7 linked regions of the Coturnix japonica genome follow. The main gene of each other region encodes a partner of the protein of the gene in region 4 in a complex. Links are inferred from orthologs where the notes say so. Each region holds a gene or a part of one and is shown on either strand. Other genes may lie near its edges.

The links.
Region 1: the proteins of GNB1 (region 4) and CHRM2 are in contact, whole or in part, in a cryo-EM structure (PDB 7T96), measured with the Homo sapiens proteins. The link is inferred for Coturnix japonica from reciprocal best matches to the Homo sapiens genes GNB1 and CHRM2. Residues at the interface, in NP_001269468.1 of Homo sapiens: His54, Leu55, Asp312, Asp333, Ser334, Phe335; in NP_000730.1 of Homo sapiens: Val50, Asn51, Arg52, His453.
Region 2: the proteins of GNB1 (region 4) and GNA13 are in contact, whole or in part, in a cryo-EM structure (PDB 8H8J), measured with the Homo sapiens proteins. The link is inferred for Coturnix japonica from reciprocal best matches to the Homo sapiens genes GNB1 and GNA13. Residues at the interface, in NP_001269468.1 of Homo sapiens: Gly53, Leu55, Lys57, Tyr59, Gln75, Asp76, Lys78, Ile80, Thr87, Asn88, Lys89, Val90, His91, Ala92, Ser98, Trp99, Met101, Leu117, Asp118, Asn119, Tyr145, Asp186, Met188, Asp228, Arg314, Trp332; in NP_006563.2 of Homo sapiens: Ser31, Ile34, Asp35, Leu38, Glu41, Lys42, Val45, Lys50, Gly205, Ile206, Glu208, Lys219, Val221, Lys231, Arg232, Trp233, Phe234, Glu235, Cys236, Phe237, Asp238, Ser239, Val240, Arg279.
Region 3: the proteins of GNB1 (region 4) and CALCRL are in contact, whole or in part, in a cryo-EM structure (PDB 6UVA), measured with the Homo sapiens proteins. The link is inferred for Coturnix japonica from reciprocal best matches to the Homo sapiens genes GNB1 and CALCRL. Residues at the interface, in NP_001269468.1 of Homo sapiens: Arg52, Phe292, Ala309, His311, Asp312; in NP_001258680.1 of Homo sapiens: Lys167, Ser168, Ile394, Arg397, Asn398, Gln401.
Region 5: the proteins of GNB1 (region 4) and TRPM3 are in contact, whole or in part, in a crystal structure (PDB 6RMV), measured with the Mus musculus proteins. The link is inferred for Coturnix japonica from reciprocal best matches to the Homo sapiens genes GNB1 and TRPM3. Residues at the interface, in NP_001153488.1 of Mus musculus: Lys57, Tyr59, Trp99, Val100, Met101, Leu117, Tyr145, Gly162, Asp186, Met188, Cys204, Asp228, Asn230, Asp246, Arg314, Trp332; in NP_001349418.1 of Mus musculus: Lys615, Arg616, Lys618, Ala619, Lys621, Leu622, Leu623, Gly624, Met625.
Region 6: the proteins of GNB1 (region 4) and KCTD5 are in contact, whole or in part, in a cryo-EM structure (PDB 8U7Z), measured with the Homo sapiens proteins. The link is inferred for Coturnix japonica from reciprocal best matches to the Homo sapiens genes GNB1 and KCTD5. Residues at the interface, in NP_001269468.1 of Homo sapiens: Arg52, Gly53, Leu55, Lys57, Tyr59, Gln75, Asp76, Gly77, Lys78, Thr87, Asn88, Lys89, Val90, Ala92, Pro94, Leu95, Arg96, Ser97, Ser98, Trp99, Met101, Leu117, Gly131, Asn132, Val133, Arg134, Val135, Thr143, Tyr145, Gly162; in NP_061865.1 of Homo sapiens: Val157, Arg159, Val160, Leu161, Gln162, Cys163, Gln164, Glu166, Glu167, Gln170, Met171, Thr174, Met175, Ser176, Asp177, Trp179, Ser190, Tyr191, Val205, Lys207, Leu209, Glu219, Ser221, Lys223, Ala224, Leu227, Gln228, Arg230, Gly231, Ser232.
Region 7: the proteins of GNB1 (region 4) and GRK2 are in contact, whole or in part, in a crystal structure (PDB 5UKL), measured with the Homo sapiens proteins. The link is inferred for Coturnix japonica from reciprocal best matches to the Homo sapiens genes GNB1 and GRK2. Residues at the interface, in NP_001269468.1 of Homo sapiens: Leu55, Ala56, Lys57, Tyr59, Ala60, Gln75, Asp76, Gly77, Lys78, Pro94, Leu95, Arg96, Ser97, Ser98, Trp99, Val100, Met101, Leu117, Tyr145, Ser147, Asp186, Met188, Cys204, Asp228, Asn230, Asp246, Ile270, Cys271, Asp290, Phe292; in NP_001610.2 of Homo sapiens: Tyr553, Gly556, Lys557, Asp558, Phe584, Pro585, Asn586, Arg587, Glu589, Pro597, Gln598, Leu600, Thr602, Glu604, Ala654, Leu657, Val658, Val661, Pro662, Lys663, Met664, Lys665, Asn666, Lys667, Arg669, Pro671.

What each region holds. Positions count from the first base shown.
Region 1 is NC_029516.1:54,483,444-54,487,741, forward strand, and holds the start of CHRM2 (muscarinic acetylcholine receptor M2), read left to right. Parts: upstream 1-1,498; 5' UTR 1,499-1,639; exon of another isoform or gene 1,640-2,087; intron 2,088-2,102; 5' UTR 2,103-2,254; intron 2,255-4,298. UniProt on the Homo sapiens protein: The muscarinic acetylcholine receptor mediates various cellular responses, including inhibition of adenylate cyclase, breakdown of phosphoinositides and modulation of potassium channels through the action of G proteins.
Region 2 is NC_029533.1:6,470,051-6,473,550, forward strand, and holds part of GNA13 (guanine nucleotide-binding protein subunit alpha-13), read right to left. Parts: coding exon 3,065-3,500; 3' UTR 1-3,064. UniProt on the Homo sapiens protein: Guanine nucleotide-binding proteins (G proteins) are involved as modulators or transducers in various transmembrane signaling systems.
Region 3 is NC_029522.1:5,173,646-5,177,145, reverse strand, and holds part of CALCRL (calcitonin gene-related peptide type 1 receptor), read right to left. Parts: intron 2,798-3,500; coding exon 2,687-2,797; intron 1,746-2,686; coding exon 1,633-1,745; intron 597-1,632; coding exon 505-596; intron 1-504. UniProt on the Homo sapiens protein: G protein-coupled receptor which specificity is determined by its interaction with receptor-activity-modifying proteins (RAMPs). Together with RAMP1, form the receptor complex for calcitonin-gene-related peptides CALCA/CGRP1 and CALCB/CGRP2.
Region 4 is NC_029536.1:1,650,839-1,654,338, forward strand, and holds part of GNB1 (guanine nucleotide-binding protein G(I)/G(S)/G(T) subunit beta-1), read left to right. Parts: intron 1-367; coding exon 368-406; intron 407-1,288; coding exon 1,289-1,395; intron 1,396-1,696; coding exon 1,697-1,760; intron 1,761-2,343; coding exon 2,344-2,506; intron 2,507-2,598; coding exon 2,599-2,665; intron 2,666-3,500. UniProt on the Homo sapiens protein: Guanine nucleotide-binding proteins (G proteins) are involved as a modulator or transducer in various transmembrane signaling systems.
Region 5 is NC_029547.1:31,831,328-31,835,512, forward strand, and holds the start of TRPM3 (transient receptor potential cation channel subfamily M member 3), read right to left. Parts: upstream 2,801-4,185; 5' UTR 2,786-2,800; coding exon 2,624-2,785; intron 1-2,623. UniProt on the Homo sapiens protein: Constitutively active, non-selective divalent cation-conducting channel that is permeable to Ca(2+), Mn(2+), and Mg(2+), with a high permeability for Ca(2+).
Region 6 is NC_029529.1:7,254,001-7,257,500, forward strand, and holds part of KCTD5 (BTB/POZ domain-containing protein KCTD5), read left to right. Parts: intron 1-2,341; coding exon 2,342-2,450; intron 2,451-2,918; coding exon 2,919-3,010; intron 3,011-3,500. UniProt on the Homo sapiens protein: Its interaction with CUL3 suggests that it may act as a substrate adapter in some E3 ligase complex. Does not affect the function of Kv channel Kv2.1/KCNB1, Kv1.2/KCNA2, Kv4.2/KCND2 and Kv3.4/KCNC4.
Region 7 is NC_029520.1:139,340-143,569, forward strand, and holds the start of GRK2 (beta-adrenergic receptor kinase 1), read left to right. Parts: upstream 1-1,430; 5' UTR 1,431-1,593; coding exon 1,594-1,706; intron 1,707-1,866; coding exon 1,867-1,943; intron 1,944-2,448; coding exon 2,449-2,522; intron 2,523-2,708; coding exon 2,709-2,810; intron 2,811-2,901; coding exon 2,902-2,976; intron 2,977-3,158; coding exon 3,159-3,220; intron 3,221-3,464; coding exon 3,465-3,516; intron 3,517-3,668; coding exon 3,669-3,760; intron 3,761-3,979; coding exon 3,980-4,079; intron 4,080-4,157; coding exon 4,158-4,230. UniProt on the Homo sapiens protein: Specifically phosphorylates the agonist-occupied form of the beta-adrenergic and closely related receptors, probably inducing a desensitization of them. Key regulator of LPAR1 signaling.

The sequences.
Region 1 (4,298 bases), on a different chromosome or scaffold from region 4:
ACAGCATGCCCACAGCTTACTTCAGACTTTCCAGAGTCAAATCAGATTTCCTTTTCTGGCAATTCACCTGAGATGGCCAGACAGCTATCTATTAAATCTGCTGTGAAAACCAGGCAAAATGTCCTGCATGTCCAAGAAAACAAACAAACAAATGAAAAGGCTCTCAGGCCAACTAACCTGATGCTCTTGAAGAGTTACAGTTGATCCAACAATTACACCTTGTGAAAGTACTCTCAGGTAAAGAAAAACAGACTTGTATAACACTGAAACATGAGTGCCTTCAAATCTCAGAGCTCCCTGCCTGTGGGTGAGTCCTATCACCAAGGGCAGGAGATGCACGGGGCCCAGCAGAGAATTTCAGAATCCTGGTATCCTGAACGTACACCTCCCTTTTGGAGGGTAAAACCAATGGTGAGATCTACCCAGGAACAGCTTAATATCTGCAAGTACTCTAGGCAGTTTCTCTGCTCAGAGCAAACCCATTACAAGAAATAACTTCTTCAAAGCGAAGGGGGAGGTTGGAGAGGAGTTAGTGGGCAATGTATCCAGTGGTCCTTCAAGAAGAGAGCTGGGTGAGAAAGGCAGTGCATGCAGCACTCAGGCAGAAACTGGGGTCACCTTCATAGAGTGCTCCCTTCTTTCCTGTTTGTTCTGCACCTCCGTCCCCTCAGCCTTCATACTATAGATCAGATGAACTCCCTTCCTCTGTTTGCCACTCCAGCAGCCCTGAATATTAGGGAAGAAATCCACAATCCCAGCCCACAAATGCATTCTGGTCCAGAACAAAGGAAATAAACCTGAAGATGTTTAGATCTAGATTACTTCCATGGAACCTAAAAGTTCCCTTAAGCAAAGTAAATACTTTGCAGCCTAATGACTATTAATTAAAAGGGAGTGCTTTACATACATCCAAGGAGAATTAAGTGCTGTTCACAGAATGTGTCTCTTTCTCCTAATTGTTTTGTCATTGTTCTGGGGAAGCAGCATCCCATGAATATTTCAGCACAATAATCAGTTTGAAAAACTAATCTGGATTTGGTACATTTTCCCCACAGTGCACAGAGACTCCGGTGACTGAAATAATCTAAAACCCAGATCTCTTTTTCCTCCCATATATCAAGTGAGACTTAGAGCCATCACAGAATGGCAAAAATAAAATAAAATGAAATAAAATAAAATAAAATAAAATAAAATAAAATAAAATAATAATAAAAACAAATAAAGTGGGGGAGTTTTGAGCTGAAAAAATGGGGAAGAGGTAACAAAAAAAAATCAGTTCAGATGTGCAAATTGTAGATAAAGACTTCTGATGAGGAAGAGGGGAGTGTCTGAAGAAGAAGAGTGTGTTGAAAGATAACAAGAATCAGTAATTTCTATTCAGCAAAGCCACCAAATCAGAGAGCAGTGCTGATCTTATTGGAGGAGAGCCTTCAACAGCAACTAATCCTGTCATATTGAAAGAAAATTGTAAATGTTCTCTGCAGAAATTGCCTGCCCATTGCAGCTAATCGAGCCCACTTGGCGCTCACACACCCACACACAGCACACAGCACCCGGACCCACAGCCGCACAGCCACCAGCACTGTGAGATGCTTACCTGGGCGCCCGGATCCCCTCCTTGCTGCCAACCCTCATGAAGGTGGCAGCTTGTCCTCATTTCCTTAGGAGTACTGTGGGAAATACGAATTATAATCGGCTCATTTATGAGCCCCAGTATCCTCTATTTTTAAATTCTCCAGTTTTGTCTAAACCTTTAAGCCAGGTCTGATAGCTCTATGTATATATGTGTGTATATATGTGTGTGTACATACATATATATGTATTTTAAAGCTGATCTTGGCTGAGCTGGAGCAGACTCCCAAGGGCCAGTGCCACGGAGAGAGTGCGGGGTGTGTGTGTGTGTGTGTGTGTGTGTGTGTGTGTGTGTGTGCCTGCGCATGTGGGAGGGAAAGAGAGAGCGAGGGAGAGACAAAAACTCCATCAACCCGGACAATGCCACCTCTCGTTTAATGCTTTCCAACTGTTATTCTTTCCCCTCATTATCACGGCACCAAGTAATCTGTCTTCTCCCCCCCCCCCCCCCCCCTCCCTCCTCTTGGAAGATATGGAAGAGAAAGATAAAGCGTCTGCCTGCGGGCGCTGATGCGCGCAGCTCGCATGCTCTGCCGCCAGAGCCGGGGCCACTCCGCAGCCGCCGCTCTCAAAGAGCCGCTTGCAGCGGGATGGGATGCAACTTCTGGTGATTGGATCACAGGTAAGAAAGCTTCGCTTTTTCATTGATGTTTCCTCTCTCTCTCTCTCTCTCTCTTTTTTTTTTTTCTTCCCTTCCTCTTCCTTTTTTTTCTTGTTCTTTCAGTCTTTATTTTGGTATTTTTCCCCCCACCCTTTTCTTTCTCGCCTTCTGCCCTCCTCCCCTTTCTCGCCGCACCTACAGTTTCATCTGCTGCCGTCATAGGGAAAGCTCCCGCCAAGAAAATAATGTCCAAGAAACGACCTTACGTTTTGCTTCCTAATAGAAGGAGCAGAGCAAAACATGGGGAAACTTTTGCTGAAAGGGTCTATCGCACTGCGGTCATCGGGGGCTGGGAGCGAGGGGAGAGAAGGCAAAGCCCCAGCAGAGATTTCCTCTGCTGAGTTACAGCTGTGATACTCATCCCGGAACCGAGGCTAAATGGTACAGCCAGGAAGGAGAGACGCGGTAACCCGATTTAGGGAAATCCTCACATTTACCAAGCGCTTCTCAAGTTGGCTTTTCTGTTTGTTTGTCAGTTTTTGTTTTAAATAATGTAAATGTTGAGTTCCAACACAGGGACGTCTCCCGGGCTACCCGTCCCAAATCCCACTGTGACATGTTTGCCGGTGAGTCCTGCAAAATGTCCTCGGGAGCTGGGAGTGGAGCCTGCCCTAGGGGTGAGGAGGGCAGAGACGGAGAGGGCAATAGGAAAAGGAGACTTCTTCCATGCCAGTGCGGTTCCTCAGCACCCCACCTAGGGACCGTGCATGTGTTCAGGGTCAGCGCCCATCCCCGTGGCCTCAGGTCTCAAGGGGGGGATAAGGGGGAGGGGGCTGGAAGGGGGCTGGGGTTCCGCCAGAGGCGAGAAAGGCAGGAGGTTTCCCCAGTTCCGACTTCACTTCTCTGGGTAGGTGCCCCCTGCGGTCCAGTCACAGGTGGATCCGGGGGAGGATGTGAGGATGCTCCAGGGTCGGGCTCAGCGCTACCCGCTACCACGTTCCGACTGATCTGGTGTGTGTGGGGGTAAGCCTCTGCCGGCTGCTCCTCCGGGCTCCCTCTGCTCCGGGTCGCAGACACGGGGTGCCTGCGGCGGGGAGGAGCGAGCCTCGAGAGGGAGCTGCTCTGACAGCGCGAACAAGAATACCTCCCGGACTGCCCCGGGAGCTGTGGTGTCGGTTACCCTCTCAAAGTCCAGCCATTTTCGGAGCTCTGTAGGGCCAAAGTGCTGCCCTACCCCACCAGCGAGTTTCTTTCAAACCCTTCTTCACTCTCGACTGGGAGCTGCTGTTCAGCTGGGGTCTCCGCAGAGCCACCAGGCATGTAGGCTCTTTTTATGTGCCTCGGGGTGATCACTGCACCCCGTCGGTGGAGAATGGACAGGGGACTTTCACCACACTCCAGAAAAGCTCTTTTTATCCATATTCTTTTCAAGCGCTTGCAGTACCTTTATGCAAACTCTTTTTTCTTCAACTGGTACTGGAGGATGGGGACAGGGATATTTCTTGCTGAAAATTCAGCCAGAGAAGTATGTCTCCCCACTTAAGTGTCATCCAGTGTGCTTGCACATTTTTCTTTAGCACTTGAGAAAAAGGGGAGAGGAAATAAAATTGAGGGTGAGTTTTAGCAGTGTTGGGTTTTTGTTGTTATTGTTGATGTTGTTGTTTGTGGGGTTTTTTAAAGAGATTGTCAATGAGGAAGGTTAATAAGGGAGATTAGGAGTAGGCGCTCTGTCTGCTTTTATGGTATTGCATTGCCTGCAATCCTAGCTCTGTCTAAATACGTGCCAGCCTCAATTACATAGTTTATGACACCAGCCGTTTTCAATGACTCGTCTATAAACTGTGTTATGTTGTGCAGAGTATACTCTCTCTCCTTTAGGCTCTTTTTGATTATAACTTTGGTCGAGCTTCCCCTCTGCAGGACCTCTGGATTGCAAAAACAACCCTGTTTGCTCTTGCACCTGGAGAGAGAGAAGTAGTACCACAGGTTTGCCAGCTTGTCAAGCCCACAATCTTCTCTAATACAAAACCAAGATCTTAGGAAATAACTGATCCACTTGTAACTC
Region 2 (3,500 bases), on a different chromosome or scaffold from region 4:
GGAACGCAGACTACCAAGCTGAGCCTTCCTATCCAACAGTGATTGCTTCAGGATAAGAACCAGCCTGTTCCTCAACAGCAGTCTTGTACCAAAATTAAATAATGCTGAACAGAAATGATATTTAGAAGAAAACCTAAAAAGCAATACAACAGTATGTGATGTGCTGCTCCTTTTCAGGTAGCTCTGAAGTTTAAAGATGGAAAAGCCCAATATTGATTCAGTTTGTTTATCCAGTATGTTAACATAGGAACCATGTAAACAGCTACATCAAGGTTAGTTGCCTCCCTCCCTTTAAAGAAGTGGGAATGGGAAACGCAAGTGATTTCATTCAGTAATTTCATTAAAATATTTCATTTTTTGCCTGAGATTCATATAGTGCTTATCTCCCAGGGACTACTACTTTGTCACAAGTGCCCCAACACCTGGGATGCACCTTGCTGCCTTAGAGGCCCCAACATTCACAGAGAAAGTCTTCCGAAAGGATTCAAAACAGTGTTTTGTTTTATGTGTATGTTGGTTCATGGAGAAGCTTGATGAGTATTTTCCTACTTCAGCTCCCGTCAGAAGTGCCCGGAGCCTTGGTGAAACTGACCACATCCTTAGACTGACATCAGTTTTGAGGATCTTTTGTAAATTAACAAGTCCCTTGACATAGAAAATTATCAACACTTTACATTATTATTATCTTTTTTTCTTTTTTTAAAACAAATTCCTTGTAATATTCCTCATCATCCAATATCCAGTCTTCAGTCTTTTCTGTAGCCATCTAGTCTGACATCCCACCAAACACTTACTACAGACCTTCTCCAAATTAATTATATGTTAATCAGCACAGACAAGTCTCTTTTCAAAATAAACTTGTTCAAACAACTGTCAGAAATGGAAAAAAAAGTCACCTCCTCCTCCCATCTGTTTGTTCCAATGGTTAATTGCCCTCCCTACATGGGTGTGGATTTGTTCAAACTACTGTTGGACTTTGGAGGCTAAAAGGCAGAGGTTTATTGTCTGCTCACACAGCATTTACAAATCAACCCGTCATCCTCCCAAGAGGAAAGTGGAGAACTTTTGGGCTGACACTAGAAGCATGTTGCCCAACCCTTTAAATACCCTCAACCAGCCTCTTCTGAGGTCTCCAGTTCATCATCCTTGAGTTGCTTACACATGAACCGAAGACATAAAAGTAACCGTATCCACGCCTACAACAGAGGCAGAATCTAAATATCCCCATCTAATGATTGTATTAACCCTCTCGACAGTGTTGCACTGACTTTGTTGGTAACACACCGTGACTTCTCCCAAGCTCTTTACAGAATTCCTTCCTCCCAAAATAGTGCCTCGTTGCAGCAAACACAGACTAATCTATGACTATTCATCGGATGATATAAAAATAGAGGTCTTTCAAAGCACTTAACTAAATAAAAATACACTATTCTCCACCTACGAACAGGAGAATGAGGTACAGATGTTAATACAACTTACAATCACAGTAAGGAAAGTTGAAGTTCAGGAGACAGGCAATTTTCCTATGTTCCAGCAACATGATCACACCTGCAGAGACGCTGCTCCAAGTGCTGAGCACATTACATCACACCTCTTGCCACATATGTGGGATGCTGATAAAGATTCACGTTAAGAAAACATTGGCCAGCATCACGATCCACAGGAATGTGCAGGTTCCACGGGGCAAAGCGGCAAGTTGGACAGACTGAAATGGAATTACAGCCTGGGGAAAGCTTTGGAGCAGCAGTACTCTTCTTAAAAACACATGTTGGCAAGCTTACTCTTACTTGGTAGCACACTGCTCGGTGTGTGAGGATTTCTAGGCAAGAAGCATTTTTTTTTGGTAATCACATGGTAACAGTAATATCTCACCCTTACCCTTTAGAAAAAACTACAATGGAACTTATGGTAAAATATTATCTAAAGTACGCTATGCAACATGTTTGGCTCAAGTACACTTAGGATTGCTAGACCCAACTGGAAAGTCTCAGAAAGAACCTCATCAGCTGAAGTGTATTTTGCTGTGATGTCCTTCTTTCAGCAAACACATTCATCTTCACGGTGTCAGCTACACAAGGCCTCTGCTGGGAACACATATTTGCATAAGGCCACTGAAAATACTGTAGGACAGAACACACGGAGGCACTTAGGTCTGCAAGTACTTCTATCCGTCACCGAATCCTTACTGATCACGAAGAGGCACACTGCAGGAAGTCATAAACCAGTGATATATTAAAGCGCTTCAAGAAAAGGTAAGGTACCTACATGTCACATCTGGTTTGTGAAGATAAGATAAACAAGTTTAACTTGCTCTCCTCCCCACATTCAAAGGACCATCATAGTGCTCTTATGTTTGCCATGGCTCCAAGACAGAGTACTTACAATGCAACAGAGTGAAACAGTGTACTGTGTCATTCACTACGCCTCGCCGCTGGACTCGTGCCTGCACCAGTACTTCCTGCCAGACATCTGAAGTTCCCAATCCAAGGATTTTTAAAGCACATCCTAGTCAAAACCCCTGCAAAGGTTTATGCTTAACAGGAAGAACATTACACCCAGGAATCCCAGCTTCAGATGCATGATTCCAGCGAGGGATTTAAGGGTTTTCTAGCTAATATTAGACCTGAGAAATTGTAAGTCAGCTACAGTATCACAGTCTTCATTACGAAGTCTGATGTGAAAGGTCTGCCCCCCTAAATTACTGCCAAAGCTCAACAACTGCAACAATTTCACTGAAGTTTGGACTTAGAATTCTGAATATAGAATGATTTTCTAAGATAATATGCATGTTCTTAAAAGGTCAAATTGAATCACTTTACAGGTAACTTAGACATAGGTCTGCTATAAAATTACAATTTGAGTCAACTTGAAGCTACACTGGGAGAGATTAAGCCTGAAATTCTGCAGAAATTGGCAATAATGTGTTCAGCAGCAGCTTTTAGCCATGTATCAAGAAGTCTGACAGGACCTGGATTTCTCTACTCCTGCTGTAAACTTCTAGTTTAAAAAAACAAACAAACAACAACACACAAGAGTTACTCAAATAAAAACGTCTTTTTGCACATCACTGTAGCATAAGCTGCTTGAGGTTGTCATGAAGGATGGTATCCTTGACATCACGGAAAACTAGTCGGATGTTCTCTGTGTTAATAGCAGTGGTGAAGTGGTGGTAGAGGGGCTTCTGCTGCTGGTCCCGGCGTTTGGTACGAAAACAATCCACCAGGAATTTTTGGACATCCGCTAAGCAGTGGGGATCCCCTTCAAATTGTGGAAAATAGTCTTTGATGCTCACTTTTTGTACTTTTTCCTCAAGCAAGTCCGTCTTATTTAAGAAGAGAATGATGGAGACGTTGCTGAAAACCCGGTTATTGACTATTGTTTCAAAAATGTTCAGGGACTCCGTAAGGCGATTCGTTTGCCGATCCTCCATAAGCACTTGGTCAAATTCACTCGAGGAAACAAGGAAGAGTATTGATGTGACACTGTCGAAGCACTCAAAC
Region 3 (3,500 bases), on a different chromosome or scaffold from region 4:
CTCTTTGCTTTATTTTCCTCACTACTACATTATGTGGCTCTATCCTTCGTAATGTGATTTATATGCCACATGTCTATAAAATGTATGTGACTTACATACCATCAGTACTTTAGTTTTCGTTTAATCTTCAGCATGACCCACTCTTGACATATCCACACCTTAAGATATTACTAAAAACAAACAAACAAGCAAGCAAGCAAGCAACACTCCTCCACCTCCTAAAACATGCTTGTTTAGTAGTTGGTTGTGTTTTCTATCTGCCATTTTCCACATTTCCAACATCTGCTACAATTTTTAATTTGCAGATCGGGAATGCTAGGTTTCTGATGACAGAAACCTAAGATTTTATTGTAAAAGCATATTCAATGCCAAACCCATATAGAGTTTTTTGTTTTTCACCTTGTTGCTCCATCCAATTTATTTGAAAGGCCCGTGTTTCTAAAGCATTGGAACTAGCGTTGCTGCAAACAACAATATTTGGGAAAGAATTTTAAATATACTTACTTAAAGTAAAAGAATATGCCAAGAGAAATCAGAAGTGAGGCGATTGAAAGACCGTGTCCTATGATGGCCAAATAATATAAATTCAGAGCAGTCTGCAATAGAAGAATAAAACCAATAGCATGTGATACAGAATTATTAAGAATGAACATACTTCTTCATCTACCCACAAAATAACTGTAATGAGGATTAAGAACACAAAAACTTGACTGAAAACAATGAGTCAATTGAGAATCCTGCAAATTGCTATCTTACTAACATCTCTGATGGGTAAAACCAGATTCATTTAAAACACAAAAATTCTCTTAGATGTTAAGACAATAGGTTTTTAAATATACACTATGTTTTCTCTGAGTAGTTATACAAAATCAGGTCATTTTTGCAACTGTGCTTAGTGCACTCCCATCTGAGGTTAGATTTGTCTATCGTGTGTCTCTTAAAGAAAATAAATCAATCTTCTACACATATGAAGGTATGTACTTTTTGCTCCTATAATTTTGTCTCTTATAAGGATACTTTCCTAGAATCGAGCTTTCGTTTGAAGGATACAAATAAAATGAACAATGGCTCCAAAATAGCAAAGACTAAGTGGAACTAACAAATAAACCTGCAGCCAAACTATAGTATTATGAAAAGCTAGGTAGAGAGCAAAATAATGAAGAACGGGTGAAGTAATGTTAGTCATATATACAAGATGTTATCATCACTTATTTGAATTAATAACTTAATTTCTACCAATAACAACATTCTGCTTTCAATTATGGAGTCTGCCTCATAAATAGACCTTTTTTGTTTTTGTTTTTTATTACAAAAATCATTTTACGCAGAAAAAAATGAACATCTTTAGGTTGAACCCTACATGACCACGATAAAGCATAGTTGTCCAGATTGCATAAGAAAGTATAATAGCCTGCATGCACAGGCTCACGTACTCCACATGGTACATGGCCTCTGAACCTATTACTCAAATTAAATGTTTGAATGGATACATAAATTGACTTGTGAAATCATATAAACAAATTATATGTAAAACTTTAAAGAAATGTTATTAGATGAGACACTATCTGTGCGTTTTTAATGTTTCACAGATCATTTTTTGAGACCGGTGATGTGCATTTATTCCTTTCCTACCTTCACTTTTTCACGCGTATAGATATTACACTGGGTGTAGTTCGTCCACGTCCTGTTGCTTTCTGGGTGTCTAAACCAGTTCCCGCTTGAATCGCAGATCTTTGTAACTTTTTCTACAGGCAGTCAGAGTAGTGGAAAAGAAAAACAGAAAAAACAAGGCAAAAACACAACAGTCAGCAGCGAAGCTCTACTTCCTGATCCTCGTGTTTCACAAAAAAGATTGGCAAATGAATGACAGCTTTATTAGTATGACTAGAGAGACGTTGACTGTTACTTGGAGTTCTGAGAAACCCGAGGCCGTTGCTTTTGCTTGGCATGGGCAACCGTTTATGTGTGTTTTTTCTTAAGAAAACACATACATTCCTCTTCCACAAATTGCTATCAAAATATATCCAACTGTTAGAGAACTACCAGATGAAGTGATGAGGATATTTAAATGGCCACTTTAACATCCAAGATATAAACAGAAGTCTAACATTCTACCACTGTAAATTGAACAGGCAAGAAAACATCAATAGAGAAACTGCTCTAGAACCAGACTGGAGAATTTCCAGGACTGCATAATGGTTAAGTCACATACTAAATGGCCACCAAAAGACCACGGGAAATAGCAAATGCGGCAGAAGCAGACAAGAGTGGCAGTCTGTGACATTTTCCACATGCTCACACAGTTGCCAAGTTCAGCTTACTGGAAAAGACTCGCTTGTGGGAGAAACACTTGTTAACTTCAGCTGCCAAACTAAGGTTAAAAAAGTAAATAAATTACATATCTGCTTTCCTCTCAGAAGGTAATTCTCATCACCAATAGCAAAGAATGGTCATCTAAATTAAATTTGTATTTCCTAATCTATAGAATTCTACCATGGCTACTTTCAGAAAAGTAAAAAACCTTAGAACTTTCCTGTAATACAAGCTAAGTGCAAATAATGGATGTGGAGTTGCTGAAATTCAGATGCATTACTGACTTGAGTAAAGCAAAGAGTAGGCATCAAGCACACAAAAGATCATTTCTTTTAGCAGTATCCTTATGTAGAAAGCCCACATACACACTTACCTGATGGATTGAAATCTTGGAAGTAGTCGGGACAATGCTGTACCGATACAGTTCCTGCGGCAACATCGCTCCAGCACAACCAGCCGTCCCATGTCCTGTTACAGTAAGGACCTAGACACAAGTGGACAACTGCCAATAAAATAGCAACTCTTCCTTCAAAGTAGTCTTTCAAAAGTTAAGGTATAACACCAGGAAAGGTAAGTTGCTCATTTACATGGGAGATGACTTTGTAAAGATAAAAATGGAAACTTAAAATTTAGCAGGAGCTAATTAGTATTTCATGTTGTAGAACCACTTCCTTACAGGTATATTTCTCAGAAATATCCATTATCATTCTTATTGACATTAGCTATTCCTGCAGTTCACAAAACACATTAGATCTACGGCACGGTAGGGTAATGTTCTCTGGGCAAAGAGAAGTAAACCAATTCAAACCAAAAAATACACAACAAAGAACTTTACATTTCATCTGTCCTGACAGGAGGTTGATGATCTTTAAGGTCCCTTCCAATCCCAGCCATTTTGTGGTTCCGTGATTTTGCAAAGACCATTTCGCTGAATTTATTTAGATTTTGGATGTGTACTTCAGCTATAGATGTGTTTGAAAACTGAGTGGTATCCTCAAAGATATCAGAAAGCCTATTCAGGAAGCAGCCATGGTTTCTCTTCCTCAGAGATGAGCCTGCAGACATTTCTCTGTACATTTGAGAACAGGGATGTTGCAGTGTCCCTCTAGAGCCTGTTTCAGCCTCTCACTGCGCTCTCCAAGATCTCTTTCAGAACACCTAAAATAAACTTCCTTTGAGAAAGAGCT
Region 4 (3,500 bases):
GAGCTGATTCTGTCCAAACCATGCATTACTGTAGGACAATTTGTTAACTCTTAATATAATTTGTATGAAACAAGCCTGATTAATGAACGCATCTCGTGTGTTATTTTTCCTGAATGTAGTAGAAGTTGCATGTCAATACGGCTGGATTTCTTTGCCGGATGTGAGGTTTCATGACAAGGAGATTTCAAACGCTCGGCATGTTTTGACAGCAGTCTGTCATGTTATGTTCATGCTGCAGTTACGACGGGTCCCTTCTGAATAACAAACCAAAATGCTTTTTAAACATTATTTTGTGACAACTTGATTAACTTGACAAAACAAAGATTGAACAGAACTTCTTCTGAGTTCTTTAACTCTTCTATTGCAGGATGCTAGGAAAGCGTGTGCAGATGCCACCTTGGCTCAGGTAAGCAGTGAAGAGTTTAACATGAATTACAAAAGGTACATCTGAGTGGATTTTTGGTTTTTTTCGTCTTTTTTTTTAAATTTTATTCAAGGAAAATGTGGTGCTGATGTCCAGTTTCTGAGAGCAGCAACCAACATGGAATGTGCTCACAATGACGATTTTTGTGTCAGGGAAATGCACTTTTCACTGTGCTGATGGCCTTTGAAAAGAAGCAGAGACTCTTGCTCAGATGTTCTTGCTAAATCTGTAACATTGGAGACATGAGAAATATGCAGACAATATCCATAAAACAAACTTGCATACTTTTGGATTTGTTGAGATGTGTGCTTGCTGTATTACTGGAAATGTGTGCTGGCTTGGGTATTTTTTATTAATTGTTTTTGTTTTTAACCAGTACTTCAGGCTGGAGAAATTACTGATGTTAAACTTAGCTGCGTAAGGACAGCTAAACTAATTACTTCCTTATGTTGCTATTTACTTACTCCAGAGACTGCTTTTATCTTCCAAAAGTTAAATAAAACAGGAATAATATGATTATAGTTTTCCAGTATTTGGAATGGAAGTTCATCTGGATCTGAAAGTGAGTTATTCATCTTTCAAAAGCAGAGGTGTGTCTATGGGCTGAGATAGTGCACCCCATGCTCCTGACTGTGGGGGAAAAAACAGATAACGAAATGATGGTTTCTTTAAAGCAAGTACTGCATAAATGAAGTAATTCTTGATGAGACATTTAAAAAAAGAAATTGGTCAATATAAAAATAAGTAGAACTTCTTGATTTGCATTGCAGTGCTTACTGGAATGTTGTTGGGTATGATGGTTTGTGGTTTTTTTCTTCTGTGGTACTATGAAAAATTCAATGGATGGTACAATTCCTATTTCAGATCACAGCCAATATTGACCCGGTGGGGAGAATTCAAATGCGCACCAGGAGGACGCTCCGGGGACACCTGGCCAAAATTTATGCAATGCACTGGGGGACTGATTCCAGGTAGGTTCACTGCTGTGGGAAGTTGGCTGCATCCAGCTGTTATTTACCTGTTCTGCCACAGAAACCCAGTAGTTCAAAAAGAACATAGGCAACAGAGAGAGCTTGGGACAACTTAATGTCCCAAAGTGCTGATGTCCATTCAGTTTTTCTGGACAGCTTAGAACTGTAACTTCTGTTGTAAAAACAGAAAACAAAGCAAGCTGACAGTATAGATCATCAAACTCATTGAATCTTGAAGCCTATATAGATTGCAATGTATAGAACACGATGTGACCGTATTTACCACTTGTTTCCTCTTCAGGCTTCTAGTTAGTGCCTCCCAGGATGGCAAACTTATAATTTGGGACAGCTATACTACAAACAAGGTAAGATTAACTGTTAAATTGATAATTAATACAAAGGAAGGAAGTACTGTCTGTCAGGATTTTGACTGCATTGCTTTGGTTGACATAAGCCTAAAGCTTGATTTCTCCAGTAGGGAATGTAGCAGCGTTTCAAGTGTTTTGTGTATGAAACTGTGCACTGCAGACAGAAGAAGGCAAAGAGGAAGTTAGTGAAATACTAAGTCATTGTTTGCTGTGGGTTTCCAGAGTAGGATATGAATGGTTCTGAGAGGAACAAATTCCTCACTAATTCATTTATAACATAGCATCTGAGCCTAGAACTGGCAGTTCTGCTGACAGTACTTGGAAGTCAATACTTTCCTGAAGCTACTGCAAACTATTAGTGATCAGAGCACTGAAATAATTTGATTTTTATGGAAATTGCTGATTAAACTGAATTCAGGAAAGGCAAACCTGAGGTTTTAATTACATGTTTACTTGATCTGACAAGCTGTGTGTTTTCTTCTTGATGCACCCGTAGAGAGGGGGAGAGATGAAAACCTACTGGTGCTAAATGATTGAATCAGTTGTTCTGCAGGTGAAGTGCTGATTGTATTTATTTCAGGTGCATGCTATTCCCCTGCGTTCGTCTTGGGTCATGACTTGTGCATATGCGCCTTCTGGAAACTATGTGGCTTGTGGTGGTCTTGATAACATCTGTTCCATTTATAACTTGAAAACTCGTGAAGGGAATGTACGTGTCAGCCGTGAACTAGCTGGGCATACAGGTGAGTACATACTCAGAATGGCCTAGGTTATGAGGGCATACAGTGAAGCCAGATCTCCAGTTCTATTCTTTGGCTTTTTGTTTTGCTTTCAGGATACTTGTCATGCTGTCGTTTCTTGGATGATAATCAAATTGTTACCAGCTCTGGCGACACCACTTGGTAAGCAGTAAAATTGTGACATGATTGTTAGTAATGATACACACAGCAAGTCTGTTGAAATAAACTTCATAAAGGTGGTAGTCATCCAGAATATTATACATGATCGATTGTTGCTTCTAAGTTACATTTTTTGCTAGTAATGGAAAACTTGATCTTTCAAGGCTATTACCTTTGGCTGCTCAGTTAAGGCTGTGTTCTCAATTGACCTAATTTTTTGTGATAAAAAGATAATGTTGACTTTTTTTTGGTATAATTTGCCTTTCAGAAATAAGCGATTTTTCTTAAAACACTTTAGTGTTCAATATTAATTTACAGTTTTTTTTACAAAGTCATATTTAGGTGTTTATAAATATGAAAAGCTCCTAGAAAATATTCTGCACTGACAGCAGGTGCAGCTTTTTTCCTTGAGGAGAATGTGGGTGTATGTCTCAATAAAAACTAGCTTCTGGATGAGAGAAGGCCTCAATCTTCTTTTCATTAGTTTTTGTATTATATCTACTGCTTAAAATCAATACAGATCTCCCAGGCAGCAGTTCTTACAGCAAAGGTTGTCTAATAAATAGCTCTCCTACACAGTGTCAGTCTCTTTAAAGGCCCGTTCATTAGTCCACTGATTGTGAGTAACTAATGAATGTAGACGTTTGTTTTTATATCAAGGTGTTCCTAAACATAATTTATAAGACAAAAAGGATCTGTTAAAACAAGGCTCATACAGGACAGTGTAACTGTGCTCAGGAGTTACCGTAGCTACTAGACAGTTGTTTGGATAACGCTTTGTCCACCTCGGATCAGCCAAGCTTTGAGAAGAATGACAAAGGGCAGTGACCTTCTGTTT
Region 5 (4,185 bases), on a different chromosome or scaffold from region 4:
TTCTGACTCAAACACCCCTCCCTTACACAGTTTCTTTCAATAAGACAACTCCTTCTTCACTCAAGATATTAAAACAAACAAACCAAAACCAACAAGTTGGTAAAGAAGACTGCAAATTCATTCATAAGGAATTAACAATTGGAGTACAAAATAAAGGACAACTTTTAGGGGTATGACTTGTCACTTTTTTATTGAGTGTGAAATACAAGAATCAGTAATTTTTACAATCATCACAGGTAAGGGTGGATTGGAAAACACAGATACTGGCAGACACTGTCCAATTTAAGGGATGCAGAAAAACAACAAAGCTAACTCTCAGTATGAGCCACAATGGGCTTTAAATCTTTAAATCTTCCGCATTTGACAGAAAATCTAAATCAAATTTTTATAGGTTGGAAATTAGCTCTTCAAAATGTGGAATTTTCTTTTTCTTTCAGGAAAATCATGCCTATCTAAATGGTTTTGCAAGGCATTCAGGTGCCATGTATTCAGAATGAAACACATCTGCATTTTTGCTTAAATAAACCTTTCTAAAGCAGTATGTTTGTCACATGAGTTCAACACCAGAGACTCCTTTAAAGAAATCATATTCTTACCTTTTAAGAGGATGCTGACATCATCTTTCACATATCCCAAACTACCTGTGCAAAGTACCAGCCTCCCATAAGACACATTACAAAAGGCTGTCACACCAGTCTGCTTATGAATTCAGAGAAGGCAAGTGCACATCTCCTGGCCAGTTTCCAGATGATCAATAACAGTGAACAAGACCAACCCTTTGTAATTAAAGAGGCACAGAAACCACCTGAGACCCCAGAACAATGCTATTAAGACAAGATTAGGCACGAACCCATTTGCCACTCTGCGTATGCAGCAAAGTGCGTTCAGCTGTACAAAAACATTCTGTATAGTCATACACAGTGTTACTAATGACAGCCTATCACTTTAATATTGACCCTCAAAAGTCCTCCACAGCCCAGTGACCAATTTCAAATAACATAAAATAGAAGTTACTGAAGGAAAAACACAATCAGGAGTGAGGGGCTAGAGAAAGAAAAAAAAGAAAAAAAAAACAACCAAAAGAAACACACAAACAAACAGAATCAAGCTCCTCCCAGCTGTCCCCTGATATACCAAATTTTGAAGTTTAAGTGCATTGCAAATCCAGTAGGGTAAATACATCACCTTAATATTACTGTAGACAAGACATCAGAAGTAAGTTACTCATCTATGAAAATGTAATGATTAAACAAAGATTAGTACAGCTTTTCTACTCTTGCCAAGCACTTTCTGAACCTGGATATCATTCAAGGTTCAGTCTGGAGTAAGAGTTCATCTCTGTTGTAAGCAACAAGAACTACTTTGTTTCGAGCAACGGAAACATAAGAACTTTAAGAACCTTAATAAATAAATAAATAAATAAAGCCTAAACTGCACTGATTGCACTGAGCATTTTTTTTCTGCTAAGTTTTGGTGATAGACTCTCGGAATAAATCTTCAAGGTATATAATGTAAAAAGAAGTTAGTGTATTCTGAAGAAGAAAAAATAAACACTAAAACCTCAGTTATAGTATTAAGATCTGCAGGGTGGTACAGATGAACGCATCTCTCCTCCTCTCCCCACTCCATAAGAGAATACTGTTACTTTCTCTGATGCTTTCCGTTGCCATGGCATCCTTTCTACTGTCGGTCTCTTTACCCTTATGCTATTTTCCCAACTGGCACTCAACCTGTGGGCATCTTCCTTGCAGCTCCACAGCTTTATAAATTTGTATTTCTGTCTGAAATGACACGTTTCAGCTATTAAATACGGTGTATCGTTCTGCACCTCAGTCAGGCTTCAGTTAGACTCACAGCACTGCTTCTGAACACACAAAGACTGACGTACTTGAACAGTAAGCAGCTCATTCAAAATCTCTGTCTGTATACATGTGTCCAGTACCTAGCATGAGGGTCCTGATCCCAAGATTAAGAAAGCAACCTTAAAGCACTTTAACAAGTACCACTCTTTTTTTCTACTTGAATGCTCAATTTGTTCTATCAGTTTCAATGTACTTCTTCCCAACATGTTCATTTTCTTAGCATGTAATCTGTGCTGTGCATGCATCTCTGTCAAGATGTCTGTCCATCCACCTCAAAGACTGTCAGAATATCCCACGGAAGGCAAAACTCCACCAAAGAAGACACTTTCCCAAGAAGAAACCTCTGACTCCCAACCGAGAGCGCTGTCTACCTCCCTCTAGTCCTTTGCCTCAACAGGAGGGTAGTTCCTAGCCCCTACTTCGCAGCTCTCTGGCCGGAGCACACCGTGCGATAGTGGGAGCCGCGCTCCGTCCTGCTCTTAGCAAGCAGCTTCCACAGAAAAAAATAAAGAAAAAAAAAAAAAAAGGAAAAAAGAAAAAAAAATAAAATAAAAAGAGAGAGAGAATGGGAAAAGGCAACAGAGGAGACTTTCACTTGTTACAACTACAAAGTCAGATTAACCGCGCGCAAAGTGTGATTTTCCTCCGAAAACGCAACAGGTTTCTCGACACCGCCCTCATCCCCACCACCTGTTTCACTAGGGGCCCCGTATTCTCATCTCGATTCCGGTCCGGGCTCCATCCCGGTCTCGGGCACTCACCGGCGGCGCGGGCGCGGAGGTTCCGCTGCGCTTGGCGGAGCCGCGCCGGGAGCTCAGCCGCCGCCAGGACTCCGCCAGCCGACCGCGGCCGCTGCCACCCGTCGTCCCCTCGGCAGCGCAGCCCCGCTCCGCCGCGCCGGGGCTCCGCCGCTTCTGCCCCATGTCCCGCGGAGCCTCCAGGCCCCGCCGGCCGCCCCGCACCGCGCCTCCCTTAGTTTTAACGATGCTGCCGAGACGCGGAGGGGGGGTGGAGGGGCGGGCCGGGGCGGAGTGAAGCTGCCCGCCCCCCGCGGCCGCGGGACTGCCTCGGGGGAGCCCCTGGAGCTGCCCCCTGAGAGGGGAGGGAGGGGACGACCGCCTACGTGGGGGCAATGGCCGTGGTCGAGAGCGCGGTGTGCTGGGAGATGGTGGGAGCTTTGCGAGGAGAAATTGAAGTTGTAATTGTCAGCCTCGAGAGGTGCTGGCGCGAGCGGGGAAGAAGAGGTCAGGTGCTGTGCGCTGATCAGACGTGACTTGTTACTAACAAGAGCTGTTTCACTTCTCTCTCTGCATATTGCCAAAATCTTACCAGGAGGTTGCTTTTTATTAATCTGAATTAACAGTTTTACTGAGCTAAACTGCTAATTTCCCCATGATCCAGTAGCCTTACCGATGAGTGAATTCCATGCTAAGTTCAACGTTTTCCTCCCCTATTTACTTGAAGGAGGATGCAAACTCCAAATCAGCAGCAAAAGGCTGCATGGTACCTGTTGGCAAGGCACACTTCGTGGGGGCCTCTTTTCCTTTCTTAAATATAACAAAGAGTATCTCTGGAATTAATGCTTTGTCTGCCAGAATTGCAGAGGTCTCCTGCAGCTCCTATTCCGAGTTTCTGGGCTCACTATGATCCAAAGGGCATTTCAGGAACGTGCACATCGGGTCCATCTGCTTTACCTGCTGAGCACAGTGCACCAGTGTTTTGCCAGAGGGAAACAATGCCTCTCTTCTGTCCTCTGAGCTCTCTGCTAATTTTTGTTTGTGAGATGACAGAATGCTCAGGTCCCCACGGCTGAACAAACAAGATGGGTAGTCAGCATATTGGGAGTACAAGCTCAGACAGCAACATTACAAGGTAAATAATTCTTTGTGTGCAACACAGCCATGCTAACAACAAGAACAACAAAAACCTAAAAGCACTGCCAAAATAGGCTACATAGCTAGGTGGACACTGTGTTATATAAGGATCATTAAAATTGTTTTGTAGGCACTTACTTAGACTTGCACTTATGATTTAACCCTTCTTATAACAATTCTTTAGAAGAGTGTTTTACTGAAAAATTCAGATGTATGTGGCTATCTTAAGAAGCTGAACTTTCTATTTTTTCAAGATGATATGACAGTATAATGGACAGTATTGTTCTAGATACAGCTGCAGTATTTTAAATGGTTTATGAAATAATGTGTTTTCCTCACAGTGCGCTTAATGTCTTGATAGTAATCAAGAAACATGGGCCAGAGTGTCCAAACAGCATGTTGAATTATCAGTTAACTCCAGGTTGAAAGCAAATGACTAAGAATTTTGT
Region 6 (3,500 bases), on a different chromosome or scaffold from region 4:
GCATGTGAGAATAGGAAGCTGAAATAGTAGATTATACTTCATCCAATCCAGCTGCATACCTAGGGACTGATTGCCTCTATCACAGTTTGCACACCAACGCTTTTGTTTGTTATTTAACTACGTGCATCATAACAGCTCCTTCATTTTTACTGAAAAGGCTCTGGGAAAGGCAGCGTGTTTGCCTTCCAACCACCTGCAGGTTCTAAGGTGGAGCAAGGCTTGGCAGCCTGCAGGCTGCTGCTGGATGTGCTTCTGGTTGCAGCACAGGGAAGACTGACCTCTGTGCTCCCTGTGGCGAAACTGATGTTGAAAGAAATCAGTTCCGTGATTTCATGTTATTCCTCTCCCTTCATGTCTCAAGGTGTGATAAGTGTCATTGTATTTAAGACTGTTCGAGATTCATCTCAGCAAATGAGTGAATGGTAGTGGTCATATCCAATGTTCATAATAGGATTTGTTTTCAGAAGTGTTTAAATTGTGGTTCGTTGGTGAACATGTTTGTATGGTAAGTTTTACAGCTTGGCTTTCCAGTATATCAGTTTATCTTTTATAAACTCTTTTATCATTCATTAAACTTCTCCCTAAGTGAGAATATCATCAACCTTTCCTAAAAAGATTTTGGCAACTGTATTTGTGCTTGATGTTTAAAACCTTTCTCAAGTTAAGAATAATAGTACTGAGATAGACAGTTATGGAAGCGCTGGATGTTTTAGATGAACCAAAATCTTCTTGGCAGCACATTCTTAGCTGTCAGCACTAAATAATCAGTGCAAGAAAAGCTTCTTAATTATAGTCATTATTCTAAGATATAGTTAAGATGAACTTTATTTTGCCAGTATATTTCTGGTTAGTCAGTTAGGTGAGTGTGTTGTGATATTAATGTAGTTTGGGTTAGTACTGGCCATCAACAGTTTTTCAATGTTTTAGGCCACATAGTTAGAGAAGAGAGATGTTCAGGGCATCCAAATGAAGATCTAAATACCACAGGAGGGTAAGGGAGGCAGCTGCTCCTAAATCCTGCCTCAGTGCCAAATATAATTGTGTTTCTGTGCATATTCCTGCCATCAGCAGAAATTCTGCTCGCTTGGTGTATATAAATGATGCCAGTGTTTTAGATAAACACGTTGGAGCTCAAAGTGTTGAGCAAAGAGTTTGATCCTGTGGTTTCTAACAGTGTCCATTCGGGAAAAGTGTTTGAGAAGTCATCAGCCTTATTTTGACCTCAGTGGAGGCACTGAGCCGGGCATGGATTCCTAACGATTCAATTTGTGCATTCATGCAATTGTTGGGAGCAATGTTAAATGGGGTTAGAGATCGTTTGATTTAAATTATACAATATCCTCGCTTAGTTCCTCTCAAGTAATGGTGCTTTCTTGTGGGGAATTAGTTGGTAATATATATAATTCAATTCAGGCTGTGGTCTGGCCTTTCTGCTGACCCTGATGAGACAAGTACATCCTTCCAGAAAGAAATCCATGTGCCTGAATATATATATGTATATAATATAAATATATAAAAAAATATATATTTCATTTTTTTATTTTTTGAAGGAAAAGATTAGCTACGAAAGGCCTAATATTTACAGTGATCTGTTGACAAAAAGGCCCAGCATATCAGTTAGGCAATCCTTTTATCAAGCTCCTTCAGTTTAGACATCTGGCTGTTGAAGTACCTCAATACTGCTTTGCTCACAACTGTTCACACAAACTGAATTATAAAGGAAACAAAAGTTTTATTCCTTTGATTCTTTGACAAAGGTATCAGCTGTGCAGGAAATGCTCCTGAGTTCTTTATAAGATCCAGTGTTCAATTCACTGAGCTGAGCATCAGTTGGAGGTTGCTGTATGCCTTTGTCTGTGTGAGGGAGCCTCTGAGCAAAGGCAGAAACAAAAGATTTTAGATCAAAATGGTGATGAAAAAAGATAGCTGGTATTTGAACCTCTCTGTAAGGTAGTCTTTGTTCTGATACTTCAGAATTCCAACCAAAATGATAGTTCCTGTGCTGATTGTAACCTTAGTTTTCAGTGTTCGCCCGTGGCACCAATGCTCTGATGTTTTTATCGTTGGTAACAAGGGGTGGGGGCAGTTGGTCATACAAAAGAAGTTGCCTGTTATACAGTTTGAGTTGAGTAACTGATCAGATATATTTACAACTAAATTGCTGAATTTCATTTAATGTCTAAAACAAACCTGGTTTGAAGTGGTATGTCTATGTCTGAGAACCTGCTTGCTATTCAGATACCATGCTGTGTATTAGCTTGCAATTCCTGCTTGTGCATTCAAATCATTGTGCTTTTTTAGCTGTCTTGTTTCTTTCTTTCTTTCTTTGTTTTGAAAATAGGATGAAACAGGTGCCTATTTAATAGACAGAGACCCGACCTACTTTGGGCCAGTGCTGAACTATCTCAGACATGGGAAGCTGGTTATTAACAAGGACCTAGCTGAGGAAGGTAGGATGTTACTAAATCTCTTGATCTCTCGTCATTTTGTTGTTATTTTTACTGCTTTGAAAGTCAACAAAAATAACTTAAAGGTAGATGATGAATTAACATTGTGCAGCATTTCAATCTGTTGCAGACAAAGCTGATTGGTGTTGTACAATTACAGTATGTTGTTGTTAGAGCTTTTTGAGTGATTCCTGGTGTGTGTCGCAGCTCCCATCCTCAGAAACTCAGCCTAGAAATTCAGCTATGAAGGGAGATGCTTCTTATGACTCTGTGAAATAGTTTTTAGTCTTCTTCAAGCAAATGAATACCAACTGTCAAACGAGTTTTAGAAGATGTAACTTCCTTTACCAACCCTAAGGGAAAATGAATTGTTTTCCATAGCTGTGTAGAAGATGATATTAAGAACTGGTTGGTGGTTTTGACCTGGAGCATTTGGTTACACAGTCTTTTCAAAAAATGTTCTCATTCTAGGTGTACTGGAAGAGGCTGAATTCTACAATATCACATCACTAATAAAACTGGTAAAGGACAAAATAAGAGAAAGAGACAGCAAAATCTCACAGGTAAGGCTGTTTATCAGTGTGCTTTTCATTATTTGTTTGATAGCAAATAATGGGTGATTCTCTTTATTTTTTCCTTTAACTGCGCATTCTCCCAGTAAGATGCTGGGCGTCTGTCCCCCTCATTGACCAAACTGGAGCCATTAGCATCTGTAGACTAATATTTTAAGTCTTTAATAGCTGCTAGTATATTTACAACAGCCAGAGGGTTCTGGTTCTTGTTCAAAAACTAAAAAGCATGTTAAAAAAAATGTCTAGTAGTGGAATAATATAATTAGCAAAATATGCTTGGAAATAGTTATTTGAGAAAAAAACTCAGTTTTTCCATATATATTTACTTACTTCGACTGTGGTGATATTGTCTAAATATGCTGTAGCTGCATGTTTATACAGCATACATACAGATGTTATTTAGCTCTCAAACTTTTTGTAGCAAAGTTACCTTCTACATTTGTGGTATTCTGTAGTTGTAAAGATCTTGCCAAATCATCCT
Region 7 (4,230 bases), on a different chromosome or scaffold from region 4:
TGGAGAAACGGGGCGCACCCTCTTCCCCCTACTTTTCCCCAGCTCCTTGCCTTGAAACACTTGTCACTTCCCTGTTAGCACAAAGCTTGAGGCCTCTCCAAGGAGGAGGGAGCAGAGCTGGGACGGGCCCTCTCTCTCGGTGCCACCACCAGCTCGAGCCCTGCTCTAAACCCCCTCACCCAGCCCTTGGATTCCTTTCTTCCCCTGCAGCAGCGAGGGCAGGAGCCCTCCAGCCTGGGCATGGCGGCAAGGTTGGGGATGGGGCTTCCACCCTGGGGCGCTTCCTCAGAGCCCTGTGCACAGGCAGTGGCCGAGGCTCGGCTGGGGGAGCAGCCCCCAGAGCTCAGGGAGGACTCGAATAATCAGCCGCGGGTGAGTGAGCACGGGGGGGGGGGGGGGGGGGGGGGGGGGGGGGGGGGGGGGGGGAGGAAGCTGCTGCATCTCCCTCCCCAGCTGCCTACCACGGCCGAGCGCTGACATTCGTGTGGCAGGGCTGCCTCGCTGCCTTGTCCTCTCATCTCCCACCCTCCCCCCCACCCCATTTTAGCTGCCGTTTTTTCCTTTGCAATGAGCGGTTGGTCCAAAGAACCTCTCTCTTGGGCAGCAGAGAGCTTTTTGCACTTTAAGAAAAAAAAAACAAAAAAACAAAAAAAAAAAAGCAAAAAAAATTAAAAGTAAAAAATCGGAAAAAAAACTCAAGATATGAGGGAAAAAAAAAGAAAAAAAAAAGTTGGCATCTTTTGGGTCGCTCTTTCGTTCCCCTCCCTGCCCGTGCCCGGCTGCTGCTCCTCTCCCCGGTGCATGGCACAGCGCAGCCCCCAGAAGCAATAAGGGAGGAGAGGAGGCTGCGGGCGGGCTGTGAGCAGCGCTGGGGGGGGTTTAGGGAAGGAGGGGGCAGAGCCCCCATCTCTGTCCTGGTGGCTGTTGCTGCGGCGTTTTTCTTTCTTCTTGGGTTCATTTGTTTGAGTTTTGCCACCAGGACAGAAGCGAGGGGAGCGGTGCGGGACCCCCCCCATACAGCCCCTCCATACAGCCCCATAGCCCCGCAGGGACAGCGAGCTCCCAATACACAAAGAGAGAGTTCTGTATATGGGATCGCTCAGTGATTTAAAGCGCCCGCACCGCGCCCGGCTGCCTCCCGCAACAACTCCCCATCGTTTAAAGGTTTCGTTGTGTTTTCGTTCCGTTTCGACCCCCCCCTCCTCCCTTCTCCCCCCTCGGAGACATATTGTAAATATATATTTTTTGTTGGCAATTTAGAGTCCAGCCGATGTTTGTGCTTTCAAATTAAATGTAAGCGTTAAGGGTTCAAGCAAAACCAAGTCGCGTGCGCTCTCTGCGTTGGGGCCGGGGGGTGTTGGGGGCACGGAGGGGCCGTTTGTTCCTGGCTGGTTGTTGGTTGTTGGGTTGTTTGCGGAGCTGGGTTGGACATCTTTGCTCCTCCAGCATTACTGCAACTACTGCCATACTGCAGCTCCGGGCTCAGCCCCGCGCACAGCTCGGGCCCAGCCCAACGCGTTTCCGGCTGCTCCTACTTCCGCTTCCGGGTCGCTGCTGGGGGTCGGGCCGGTGCCGGCCTCGGCCCCGCGCAAGATGGCGGATCTGGAGGCTGTGCTGGCCGACGTGAGCTACCTGATGGCCATGGAGAAAAGCCGGGCCGCACCCGCCGCCCGCGCCTCCAAACGGATCCTACTGCCCGAGCCCAGGTGAGTGCCGTCGGGTCGGGGGCACCGGGCCGGGCCCTGCCTGCCCTGCCGCCCTCGGCCCCGCCGTGCCCCTACGGAGCCCCCGTCCCCAGACACCACCGGGGCGCGTAGGGGCAGTATGGGGCAGTGTGGGCCGAGCTGAGCCCCGGCCGCCCCCCAGCATCCGCAGCGTCATGCAGAAGTACCTCGAGGAAAGGGGCGAATTAACCTTCGACAAGATCTTTGCGCAGAGAATCGGTGAGTGGGGGCTGCGGGCGCCGCCGTGGGGCTGCGGAGGGGCTGGGTGGGGTCCTCCCCCCCCCCCCCCTCGGTCCGCCCTGCCCCGCCCCGCCGCTTCCCCTCGCACTAACTGTCCTGGGCAGGAAGCGCCTCTTGCTTCCTCCCCGCGGCTCTGGTGGTTTCCGGCACCTCCGCCCTCTGGCAGCCCCATAGCCCTCCTCTGGCAGCCCCATAACCCTCCCGGCAGCCCTATAGCCCTGCTCAGCGCCATAGCCCTCCTCTGGCAGCCTAGTAGCCCTCCCGGCAGCCGCATAGCACTCCTCTGGCAGCCACATAGCCCTCCTCTGGCAGCCCCACAGCCCTCCTCTGGCAGCCCCACAGCCCTGCTTAGCTCCATAGCCCTCCTCTGGCAGCCCCACAGCCCTTCTCAGCCTGCTGTGCTCTTGTTGTGTGGCACCACATCGCTCGGCCTGGGTGCCACACTGTGATGCGGTCACCGCTCGCAGCACTGCCTCTACCCCAGGGTACCTGCTGTTCCGGGACTTCGCCCTCAACCAGGCTGAGGAAGCCAAGTCCCTGATGGAGTTCTACGAAGAGGTGTGATGTGGGGCTGGGGATGGGGTACCCTCTGATGCACCTGGGGGAGGTGGTGCCCTGGATGCCTGGAAGCAATGCACTCAGTGCCCAGGGTCCTGATATCCACAGGTGTCCACGAGACACTGTGCACTGTGTGCTCCTTGTGGGGCTGTGCCCTCTTCACCATGCAATCTGTGTCCTTGGCAGATCAAGAAATACGAGAAGCTGGACTCGGAGGAGGAGCGCCTGAGCAGGAGCCGCCAGATCTACGACCATTACATCATGAAGGAGCTGCTGGCCTGCTCCCATGTGAGTGCTGTGCCTCATCGTGCCAAGCCACAGGAGATTCCACCACCGTGTCCACCTCCTCACGGTGATGTGGTGCTGTCCTGCCCTGCAGCCATTCTCCAAGAGTGCTACAGAGCACGTGCAGAGCCTCCTGAGCAAGAAGCAGGTGCCCCCAGACCTCTTCCAGGTAAGTGCTGTCCGTGACGTGGAGGGGATGGTGGCACTGGGGTCACCAGAGACAGCTGGCCTTGGGTGGCAGAAGGTGGTAGTGGAGGTGTGAGATATCCCACCTAGAGGTGGGACCTGCAGGGAATGGGGCGGACCTGGGTGGTACTGGGGATGTAATGCTGACCCCCGTGTTACCCATAGCCCTACATTGAGGAGATCTGCCAGAACCTGCGTGGGAGCATCTTCCAGAAATTCATTGAGAGGTGAGACAGGAGCACTGCCCAGGGAGATCTGTCTCTCAGGGTGCTGCAGGGCTCCTGCTGAGAAGTTCCAGTGCTGTCTGTCCCCACACTGGAGAGTTGGGCCAGTGTCACTCCCAGTTCTGGCCTGGGGTCTCTTTTCCCACATGGGGTCCTCTCCACAATACGGATCTCCTCTGCCCTTCCTTGCGTCTTAGAGGTCTCCCCAGGGGTCCCTCGCTCTCACCCTCTCTGTGCTTCCTTGCAGCGACAAGTTCACGCGGTTCTGCCAGTGGAAGAATGTGGAGCTGAACATCCATGTGAGACCTTGCTCCTCGGGATACAGCCAGGGAGGGAATATGGGTCCTGGTTCTAAGGGAGCTCCAGGAGACTGAGGCAGGGTATGGGACCCCCCCAGGACACACAGGGGGTAGCTACCATCGGGTGATCCCCTCTTTCTGATCCACTTCAGCTCACCATGAATGACTTCAGTGTTCATCGCATCATCGGTCGCGGTGGCTTTGGGGAGGTCTACGGCTGCCGGAAAGCAGACACAGGCAAAATGTAATGGGGCTGGGGAGCTCTGTTCTTGTGGGCAGGGGGGGTGAGCGGTGTTGCCGTGATGGTGGGCATTTAGCGGTGCCAGAGCATTGCTGTGTCTCCACCTTCTGGGGCAATACATCATGGTAGTTGGGGGAAGGAGCTGTCTGACCACAGATGTCAAAGAGTGGGCGTGGTGGGTCCAGGTAGCAGCAGGACCCCACAGGGACTCTCTGCCCCCAGGTATGCCATGAAGTGCTTGGACAAGAAGCGCATCAAGATGAAGCAGGGTGAGACGCTGGCCCTCAACGAGCGCATCATGTTGTCCCTTGTCAGCACAGGGGTGAGGGGATTAAGGGCACAGGGTGATGCGGGGTGCTGAGGCACAGCTGGCTTGGCATGACATCTTCTCCCTGGCCAGGACTGCCCGTTCATCGTGTGCATGTCTTATGCTTTCCACACACCCGACAAGCTCAGCTTCATCCTTGACCTAA